Drosophila melanogaster: one gene and its partner. The protein of the gene in region 2 interacts with the protein of the main gene of each other region in a pairwise test. Each region holds a gene or a part of one and is shown on either strand. Other genes may lie near its edges.

Region 1 (4,650 bases), on a different chromosome or scaffold from region 2:
ACTAAGATGCAATTAAGTTTACAACTCTTCCAAAATTTCTGGCTTGGCGCACTGAAGCGGTCATAAATAAATGTGGAAAACGACGCTGGCCGAATCGGAATCGGAGCCGGAGTGTGAATCAGTGCAAACACCAGCAGCGGCACCAGTTAACCACCACTGAGATTTTTTTTTGGGGGGATTCCCCCAACCCAAGGCCGGTATGATTTAATGTGGGAACTGCGCCTGGAGCACGTGCAGCGCTCGGAGTGAATCCACCAGCTGCTCCGGCGCTGGAGGAGGAATCGGAAGCCAATTGTCTCGAGTCATGTTCGCCGGCTTGATTTAATTTAAAAACGATTCAAAAATTACAGACAACAATTCGGCAATAATTTTAAACTCTGCGTTTAACCCATGTAATTAAAGTGCTGCTCGGATGACGATACTGGGCATTGGGCATTTGGGCATTTGGGCATTGGACCATATACCATGGACCATTGGGCACGACTTCTTCGCTGGGACTGGGTTTCATTCGAGAATTTATGACTTTTTGACAGCCCACATTATTGTTTAATCGTGACTTTCGGGCTAAAATTGAAAATGCGAGCGGCGAGTGGCGGTGGCAGGATTTGATTTGAATAGAACTGCGGATCGGATGTGCGAATGACACCAGCATGTCGGTCCGGATCGCAGTGGGGTTAATTAGACAGCACAGCACCCACATGCGGACCCTCAATTGAGAGACCCGCAATTAACACCAGTCCAGGCCCACAAGGAGCACACATCGCATCGGCATCGATCCGGGGGGATGACGAATAGGCCGGCCTGGAGAGCCGAGATTCAGTCGCTGTTTGCACAGCCCATTGCGTCTCCGCCGCCTTCGCTTCTTGGCCAAAAGCGAGGCTATTAAAAATTATTATGTAAATAGCCAGACCGACCGGCCGGCCAGTGAGTGAGTGTATAAAGTCTGGCTCATTGTTGATCGAGCCGGCAATGTCTATTAACAATAATAAAAATGAAAGGAAAACAAAGGGGCAGGAAAAGACTAACAAGAGTTTTATTGAATTGAAGAAGTCGCGATGAGATGGAGATGGAGATGGAGATGAAGCTGCATACCTGAAAGCGAATGGCCGAAAGGCCTGAAAGGCAATAAAACCCATTTAATATTCATTTAAGGTACTAACAAATAATGCAAATATTTGAACAATCTATTTACATATGAACGCCATCAAAGAGCTTGGATTGAAAGATCTCTTTCAATCGGTGGAAATTGTGAACGATCTCGGGATGTCGGTACGCCGATCGCTCGGTTTTGTGGGACCAAAACAGATGAATCTATTTGTGTTTATGAGTGTGCCATGCACTTAGCTCGATCAACGTGTGAGTGTATATCGCGCTGGACGTGAGTGTGTCGCTACAACACAATCGTCTTGTATGCGACCATTTAGCATGTCACCTTTTAACGGCTCTCCGGCAAACTGAAACGCCAAAAAGCCAAAAGAGCCAGCTCCCTCCGTTTTGAATCTCCCATTCCCCGATTGAATAAACATATTTTTTTAACATTATAATTACGTTTTGAATCATCTGCAAACAATGTGAGTCGGTTGCAGGAATTGCCTTTGCCTTTTCGAGCACGACAGCAGAAAACAAAGCTGAAGTATAAGTTGCTACCCAAACAAGAGATCATTATGGCCAAAAAGCGATCGCTTTTGGGCATTTGGGTAAGGATTTCCTCTAAGTGCCGACGGCAAATGGGTATTTCATTTTTTTTAGACTGAATAGGGTATCTTGGCCCATCAGTGTCAAGACTTAATACTATTTTTCGCGTGGCAAATGGATATTGATGCATTAGTAACTCAAATTACCAGACGGTCGCGAAAAAAACAAAACAGATTCTATACATACATATATGATGGATAGATGAAAGGTGGGTTATCTTATTAATTTTTGTGCTTGACAAATTTCATTTGGTAAAAATAATAATAATACTTCGAAATGCTTCTGAGAATTATTATCGGAAAATGAATGAGTTTCCATCAGTAGCTGATTGTTAGCAATAACCATGAATTCCGTATATTTCTTCATTATTTGTATTTCAATGCTACATGTTTGTTTACATAATTCATTTGTATATTTCATATCAGTGTTTTACGATGTGATAATAAAGAGGTAATTTAGCGGCACTTACTGACATACTTTTCACCTGGATACTTCTACTGAGAATGATTATGCCAATTAAGTTTATTACTTGAATGTATGACATTTATTTTAATGCCAAGCTGATTAGTGCTTGTCACATCAATTTTTCAAAGAAGATAATAATCCTTTATAATAATAATAACTTCGGGCGTTACTGTAGAGGTGCATATTGGGTGTTACAAAGTTCCTTTTCTTACCAAATCGTCCCCCAGATCGGAATCGCGTTCAATATTGCTGGTTGAACGACCGCTACAGTCCATAGTAGGGTGCACTCGCAGTTGCATTGAGGCGAATTGGATCACCCTGCTCGAATGTCACGAATATAACGAATATGACGAATATAACGAATGTTGCGGTTGATCAAAGACCTGCGCAGACCTTTGATACTTTTGATGTTATTTCCTTAGCTGAAGTTTAATTGGCACAGCACACTTTTGTTGTGTTGTTTTTAGCTTCTATATGGCATTACTTTGCGGCCAGCATTTGATTTCTTTTTTTTTTTTGTGAGCGCGAACCGTTACTTGTGATCGTCGATCCTCTTTGCACTTTATTCTGGTTGGAAAACAGAAACAGGAGAGTGCGCTTAAGAACCGTTCACTTGCATTTATGCCTTTCTGTTTGTTTGCAATTGCTTGCGGTTGTTTAGTGCGATTTGGTTCCTAGTGACTTCTATGCTTCTCACTTTAATTATGGATCAAGAGTTTTACTGCTCACACGCTCACACACACAGAACACGATTGTTATTAATCCACATTGCGACGTTATCTAATTACAGTGATGTGTCCATTTGAAAAGCCGTTATCCGACCGCACGGAACTCGTCTCGTTCACTCGAAAGTTCAAATCGGTCTGAGTAGCGAACAAGAAACTGGCGAATAAGACACCGACACCATCTCACAGCAATAGCAACAAGTTGCTGCAACATTCCCAAATGTTGCCGGAACGGCCGTTCAAATCGAACGAATGGAATTGCACGTTCCAATTCACACTCGTTCCCCGAACTCGTTCGCAGCCAATCGGATGGCCGTTCCATCGTTTGTTAGGGGAGGGGGTGGGGGAGGTGGTCAATTAAATTAAAATTGTAATCGCAATCTATGCAATGCCCGATTCGTGTGTGTGTGAGAGTGTGCGCAATACGCCGCCTTCTTATTCGCTCATTCCGATACACTCACACACACACGAACACCTGAGGCAGAGGTGTGCTCGTGTATCTGTATCCGCAGAATGTGGGCAGAAAACGCAGATACACTGCCTAGCACGTTTGTTAACGCAATTTAACAGGTTTATGTGCTTTTGTTTTCGAATAAAATGTATATTTTTAGTAAGTTACTTTAATAATGATGTATTACTAATAATATGTGCAGTTGTTTACCCGCGTTTTAGGAAGTAAATAAGACTTTTGGATACTAAATAAATGACAACCTTTTTGTTTCTAGCTTTTGTAGCTTAGTGTTTAGTTTTGCGCACTTGTATTGGCTCACTGGCGTATCTTTCAATCGAGTTTTATGCGCGGTTCAATTGAAGAGCGCCGCCCTTTTCATTCGCCGAATCGTCCTGTTGATTTTCCCAATCGAATGGGAGGGGCCAAGTTTGTGCCCTTTTAAATTTGTTGCCAATAAGTACACAAAAACGGGCTAAAAACAATTGCCAAGTAGGGGGTGAAGGTAGGCGTTGGGTGGGCTGGGAATGGATGGGAAAGGAGGGGGAAAGGGAAAGGCAAACGGTAGGTTGATTAATGATTTGCGAGATAAATTGCACTTGTAATGGCCAAGGCGGTAGATAGATGGATGGATAGATTGCTGCTGCCACCCATCCAACAGACAGCCACATCCACATTCGCACCCAGCCACCCATCCAGATAGTAAATAATTTCCGTTTCTCGATTTTCACTAATTTGAAATTGATGAAAGGCAGCGCCGCCGAAGAGCAGCGGCAGTGGATCCAGACACTGAAAGAAAATCGGATGTACTTTTATGCATGCAAACAAATACGCTACGGTACTCAGTTAAATGATGCAAATTAAAATTCATGACTTTTATTCTTCAAATTATTTATTTGTGTGTAAAGTAAGTTATATTTTGAACTGATTTTCCTGTGTGCAGCTGAGTATATCAATTTTGGCCGACTTGTCTGTGAAACAAACAAGCCGCGAACGCTGCGGCATGTATCTGTATCTGCATCTGTTAATGTATATGTATCTGTATCTGGGTGTCTGTAGGGGAGGCTACCCTACGACTACGAATACACCCCCTGGCAGCCAGCCCAGGAGGAGAAGAGCAACGCCAATGACGAGGCGACGTCCGACCCACCGACTTGACTGATGATGAAGTGAGAAAGTAATTAAATACAATTTTAAATGTGACTAATGAGACGACGTCAAATTCGTGGGGCAAAATGGCAGGAGGGTGGAGAGGGGGGGGGGGTGGTGGTGTTTCTGGGCGCGATCTAAGGGAAGTTGCAGTCAAATGAATTCATC
Region 2 (5,761 bases):
GGTTTTTTTTTTAATGTCTATTAATGCTGCAGCATCTGACATGCGATAACACAGTTGTCCTTGACCTAGTTGTAGAACATAAACATAATAGATGCACATCAAAAATGTTTATTTATAAGATCGGTTAAGTTTTAATATGGCAACGTATGACAGACATTCGTAATACAAACTTGCGTAAATGCATTCAGGAGTTCGCAGTTTTATGATTATTTATCTGATTACATATTTTAGCCTTGGTATGTTTTCCCACTGGGGACGTGCGAGCGTATCTTGTTTAAATATTCTTTGGTCTATATTTATAATAATTAAACAAAAAAAAAAAAAATATCTAATTATAAAACAATACTTTCTTCGATGACTATAAATTTGATATACCTAGAGTTCAAATAAATATTTTAAATATACTTTGAGATCATCTTGAGATACTTGTTTACTCTTTGTTTCTCGCCTTTTGGCGATGTTCGTCTAATACTTCCCGCAATCGCTTGACGAAATTAGCTTGATCTCTCGGAATAAAGCCCAGGAAGGCGTTCCTCGGGGACGAATACAGCAGCATGATAACCTTGCAGACGACCTCGGAGGAAAATCGGGCACAGCCACAACTGCCGGCGGACATTGATGATGCTAGCGAGTCGTGTTCTTCTCCAGGTGTCGATCGGAGAATTATAAGTTTCGAGTCCTTTATAAACGCTCCGGCGAACTGACCAAGATAAATTGAAGGCATCAAAACCATAGGCATATCAGTTGGCCAATCCTCCGCACTGATCCCGGGATCACCGTTTTTTATAGCTATGTACACGGAACACTCAAGCTTGTGACTAATGCTTGGCTCCTCTAAACTTGCTTGTGTCGACCAATTCAGCGATCCAGTCCATAGGAGTTCATTTATAATGGCATCTTCCTCCACAGGAGGCGGTTCTTCTGGCTGTGGCTGCTTGGGTGTTTTGACGCCCGGCTTTCGTTTTGCACCCTGAAGAATCTCCTGCAGTCGTTCGCTAAACGAATCCTCATTGTTGGGTATGAAGCCAACCAAAGCTTGATGATCGCGCGAGTAGATGAGAATTAGAGCCTTGATGTTGCAGTTGGGATTGGAGGGGAAGTGGATGCAACCAGCGAAACCAGAGCTCATCGCCGTGATCAATAAATTGAGTACCTCTCCTTGGCTGGATCGGAATACAACCATCCTGGCATCCTTTAGGAATTGTTCGCCAATTTTACCCAGCACTTTTTTGGGTATCAGTTGTGTTTTCAGCTTGTTTGGCCAGTTCTCCGTGTTGATCTCCGGCTGACCTTCTTTAACCATGGAGCAGATTTTGCATTGGACCGTGTGCAGAGTCTTCGGTTGATCCAATATCTGTGCATCCTCCCATTCGAGCTCTCCACTCCAAATTGTTTCCTTTGAGTCACCATTTTCAGGATTTTCCGGTTCTTTTTGCAAAAGCAACGCCCCAATCATATGTGTTAGACAATCGAGTTCCCCTTCGTCATCACCCACTCCTCGGGCTTCCTCTGGAACCGGCTCCATGCCCCTTTCAAGATGCAATCTAATTAAATATGGATTTTGTCGGATAGGCAACTTGTCGGTTAAAAATTTGTTTATCTGTGATATGCTTCTTCTTGCTTTTAGCGGTTTGTTATTGGTATCGCACTATCGGTTGGCTGGTTGGTCGATTGGCGGCCATCGAGATGCAACGCAATGCAACCCTGGCCAATCACTCTCACTTCTTCTTCTGCGTTTGTGTCAAAACAAAATTAAAACTAAAAACTCGCTAAAACCGTCTCGCAGCGCAATTATCTTTAGACTTCGTGTTATTTATGTGTTTGAATGTTAGCGTCGGCACCCCGCATCCCAGTGTTCATAACCCCATGTGTGCCACCTTGGTTTAAATGCTACCAATCTCCTGGCAGAGTAGCGCGTCTGAGCGAATAAAAAAACTGAACATGTTTCGCTCCAAGCACTTGTGATTGACCAAATCTCATCTAAAGCCCTGCCATGCTGCAGTACAAGAGTGCCGCCAGTGCGGCGACTAGTGCGCCACCCGCCACGCCTTTGGCGGCAGGCGGTTCCAGCAAGGCGACGATTCCACCAAATGGAGCTAGTGCAGCAGCTTCACAAACGCAGGTTCACGGTGCTCCCGGGACACCAACCATGCAGCAGATCATCAACATTCACCAAATGCCTCCTCAGTTTGCAGGCGGAGCGGTTGCCGGGAACGGACAGAACGCTGGCATGCCCCAAAACATGTTCCAGATCGTACAGCCCATGCCCATGCAAACGGTGAACATTGATGGCCAGGAGGCCATCTTCATACCAAACCTCAATGCACAACTGGCCACCGCTCAGGCGGTCAACTTCAACGGGCAACAGGCCTTTATCACGCCCAACGGTCAAATTCTGCGGGCTCCCCAGATGGCAGCTAATCCGGCAGCCTCTAACTGCATTCAGCTGCAACAGCTGAACGGCTTGGGCCAGGAGCAAACCCAGCTGATCACCATACCCGGCACCAACATTCAAATACCCGTCACCAATCTCATTCAGCAACAACAGCAGGCACAACAAGTGCACCAGGGTACAGTGCAACAGCAGGCACAAGGAACAAATGCATCTGGAGCCAATGGATCGGGAGTTACCAATAGTGGGACAGCGGGTCAGCTGCCGGGCAGCATCACCATACCGGGCACAAACCTGCAGATACCAACCTCGGTAGCGGCGGCGAATGGATTGCTGGGAAACATCTCCAATATCTCCAATTTACTAGGCGGCGGGCAATCTATAAAGTTGGAGAACGGCCAATTGCAGATGCGGCCGCAACTGGTGCAGTTTCCGGCGCCAGCCATGCCGCAGCAGCAACAAACGGTTGCTGTGCAGATTCCCGTTCAGACTGCTAACGGACAGACCATCTACCAGACTGTACATGTGCCCGTCCAGGCAGCGGCAACATCGAGCGGCGGACTGCAAAACCTGATGCAGGCGCAATCCCTGCAGATGCCCTCCGCCTCGCAGATGCAAATCATCCCGCAGTTCTCACAGATAGCCCAGATTGTTACGCCCAACGGTCAGATTCAGCAGGTGCAACTGGCAATGCCGTATCCTCAGCTGCCTCCGAATGCCAACATTATACATATCCAGAATCCCCACCAGCAGCAGCAACAACAAGTACAACAACAACAACAGCAGCAGCAGGCGCAACAGCAGCAGCAAGCGCAACAGCAACAGGCACAGCAGCAGCAACAACAACAGGTCCAGGCGCAGCACCAGCAGCTCCTTCAGGCGATCAGCGATGCCTCGGCGGGGGGACAACTGCCGCCCAATCAGCCCATCACCATTACCAATGCCCAGGGCCAACAGCTGACCGTGATTCCCGCCCAACTACGCCCAAATGCGCCTACCGCACCCACTCCTGCTCCAGCTGGTGTGCCCACACCAATGCAGATGCCCAATCTTCAGGCTTTACCCATCCAGAACATCCCAGGCCTGGGTCAAGTGCAAATCATTCACGCCAATCAGCTGCCTCCTAATCTGCCAGCCAACTTCCAGCAAGTACTAACCCAACTACCCATGTCGCATCCTCAAGTGCAAACTCAGGGCCAAGTTCAGGTGATGCCCAAGCAGGAGCCGCAGAGTCCAACGCAAATGATCACCAGCATCAAGCAAGAGCCGCCGGATACCTTTGGACCCATTTCCGCAACTGGTAATCCTCCGGCACCTGCCTCTACTCCAAACACAGCCTCACCGCAACAGCAGCAGATCAAGTTCCTGCATACGGAAAGCAATTCCCTGTCCAGCCTGAGCATACCAGCCTCCATTCAGATCACAGCCCTGCCACAGCAAGCGACGAATACACCGAATACCCCAGCCACAACCCAACCAATTCCCGTATCGTTACCTGCAAGAAGTAAGGTCAACGCTGTGACCACGTCAAGCACCCAGATTACAATTGCGCCGACTGGTGGCCAAGTGGTGTCCGTCACGACGCAGGCTAGGGGAGCAACTGCCAGCATAAGGAGCACGAACACCAGCACGACGACTATAACAACGCCGTCACAAAGCCATCTCAATATGAACATAAGTGTGGCCAGCGTCGGAGGTGCTGCAACTGGCGGCGGCGGTGGAACAGCGACTGGAGAGCCCAAACCACGCTTAAAGCGAGTAGCCTGCACCTGTCCCAATTGTACAGATGGCGAAAAACACTCGGACAAGAAGCGCCAGCATATATGCCATATAACCGGCTGCCATAAGGTATACGGGAAAACTTCCCATCTAAGGGCTCACCTGCGTTGGCATACTGGCGAGCGACCATTTGTCTGCTCCTGGGCGTTTTGCGGCAAGCGCTTCACCCGCTCCGATGAACTGCAGCGCCACCGACGAACGCACACGGGAGAGAAGCGTTTCCAGTGCCAGGAGTGCAACAAAAAGTTCATGCGCAGCGATCACCTGTCGAAGCACATCAAGACGCACTTTAAGAGCCGCTCTGGCGTGGAGCTAATTGAGCTGAGCATCAAGCAGGAGACCAAGGGTGGCAATGCACCGAAAAGCATTAGCACGGTGAACGGCATTGTGACGATTGAGATTCCGGGCGGCGGTTCAGCGGCGGCGGGCAGTGGAGCCTCCAGTGTGGCGGCCACGGTTGCAGGCTCAACTGTGACGCCGGGCGGGGCCACGATCGTTCAGCTGCCGACTGTGGAGGCCAGCGGCGGGGGTGATAGTTTCGGCGATGATGAGGACGACGAGGAGGATGATGAATTGACCGAAGAGGACGACGAAGACGAGGAGCTCGACGAGGACGATATGGATGATTGCGAGGATGAGGAGGATGACGAGGATCCAGAACTAGACAGTGGCGATGAAGTGAAGATGACAATTGCGGTCAGTGAGCCTGGCGACAATTCGTCCAACTAGCATTCGGAGTCGCTGTTCATGGAACAGTTCTTGTTTGACCACTTCCCGTAGCACCCACCGCCCCCTGCCGCGCCCCATGGGACCATGGTTTAGCAATATATAAATTGTACATAGCGTAATTATGTAAAAGCGAGCATTTTAAATGTTTACCCTTCTTGTACAGCTCCGGTTGCGGATCATCCTAGATTAGTGTACATAGCTTAATCGACCATCGTATTTTAATTAAGATTTTTATTATACATTTTATAACATTTTTAGGGATTACATGTTTTTAATTAATTAACACCAATAAATGAAGAACTTTATATAGTTTAATATATGGACATCAGGCTATTGAGGTGACGTCGATCGGCTCAGATTCTGTATTTTGAAAAGTGATAGTTCCTTCCGAATCAATTGACGGTCCAATCGACAAGCTTTCCGAATTAATTTGATCACACCTTACCCAGCTCTCATTCATCTCTGTCTCTGGACAGTTTACCTGATCGTCAGGCTCTTGAGTCGACGTGGGTCGTACTAATGTGCTCAATTGGGTGCCAAACATATAGTAGTCCGGATCAGACTCCGTATTCCGGAAACTGTTATTTGCTTGCGAATTTATACATCCAGTCCGCATCCTTCCTAAATTAATTGGATCACATCTCACCGAATTCTCATTAATCTCTGTCTCTGGACGGTTGATGTTCTCATCCTGAAATCCTGACTGCTGCTGTTCGTCCTCATCGTCTCCGATGCCGCTAAGATCAGATGACGACACGCCTGGCGGAGCCATCGCTTCCACTTGAAAGTTCATTTGAGACAGTGAACTAAGATTTGTGTTTGCTTGGTCCTCGTGGCTCTGCACCGCGTCATTAGAAGATG

The links. The genes of interacting proteins can lie anywhere in the genome.
Region 1: the proteins of Spps (region 2) and retn interact in a two-hybrid assay, tested with the Drosophila melanogaster proteins (one large-scale study listed by BioGRID).

Annotation. Positions count from the first base shown.
Region 1 is NT_033778.4:23,630,987-23,635,636, reverse strand, and holds the start of retn (retained), read right to left. Parts: upstream 3,028-4,650; 5' UTR 2,460-3,027; coding exon 2,373-2,459; intron 1-2,372. UniProt on the Drosophila melanogaster protein: Transcription factor which is a downstream target of gcm and repo. Directly or indirectly activates the transcription of locos and pros, which are essential for the development of some glial cells.
Region 2 is NT_033777.3:24,222,888-24,228,648, reverse strand, and holds Spps (Sp1-like factor for pairing sensitive-silencing), read left to right. Parts: upstream 1-1,714; 5' UTR 1,715-1,993; coding exon 1,994-4,900; coding exon of another isoform or gene 4,901-4,951; 3' UTR 4,952-5,204; downstream 5,205-5,761. Other genes in the region: CG13609 (uncharacterized protein), read right to left, coding at 431-1,525; cav (caravaggio), read right to left, coding at 5,226-5,761.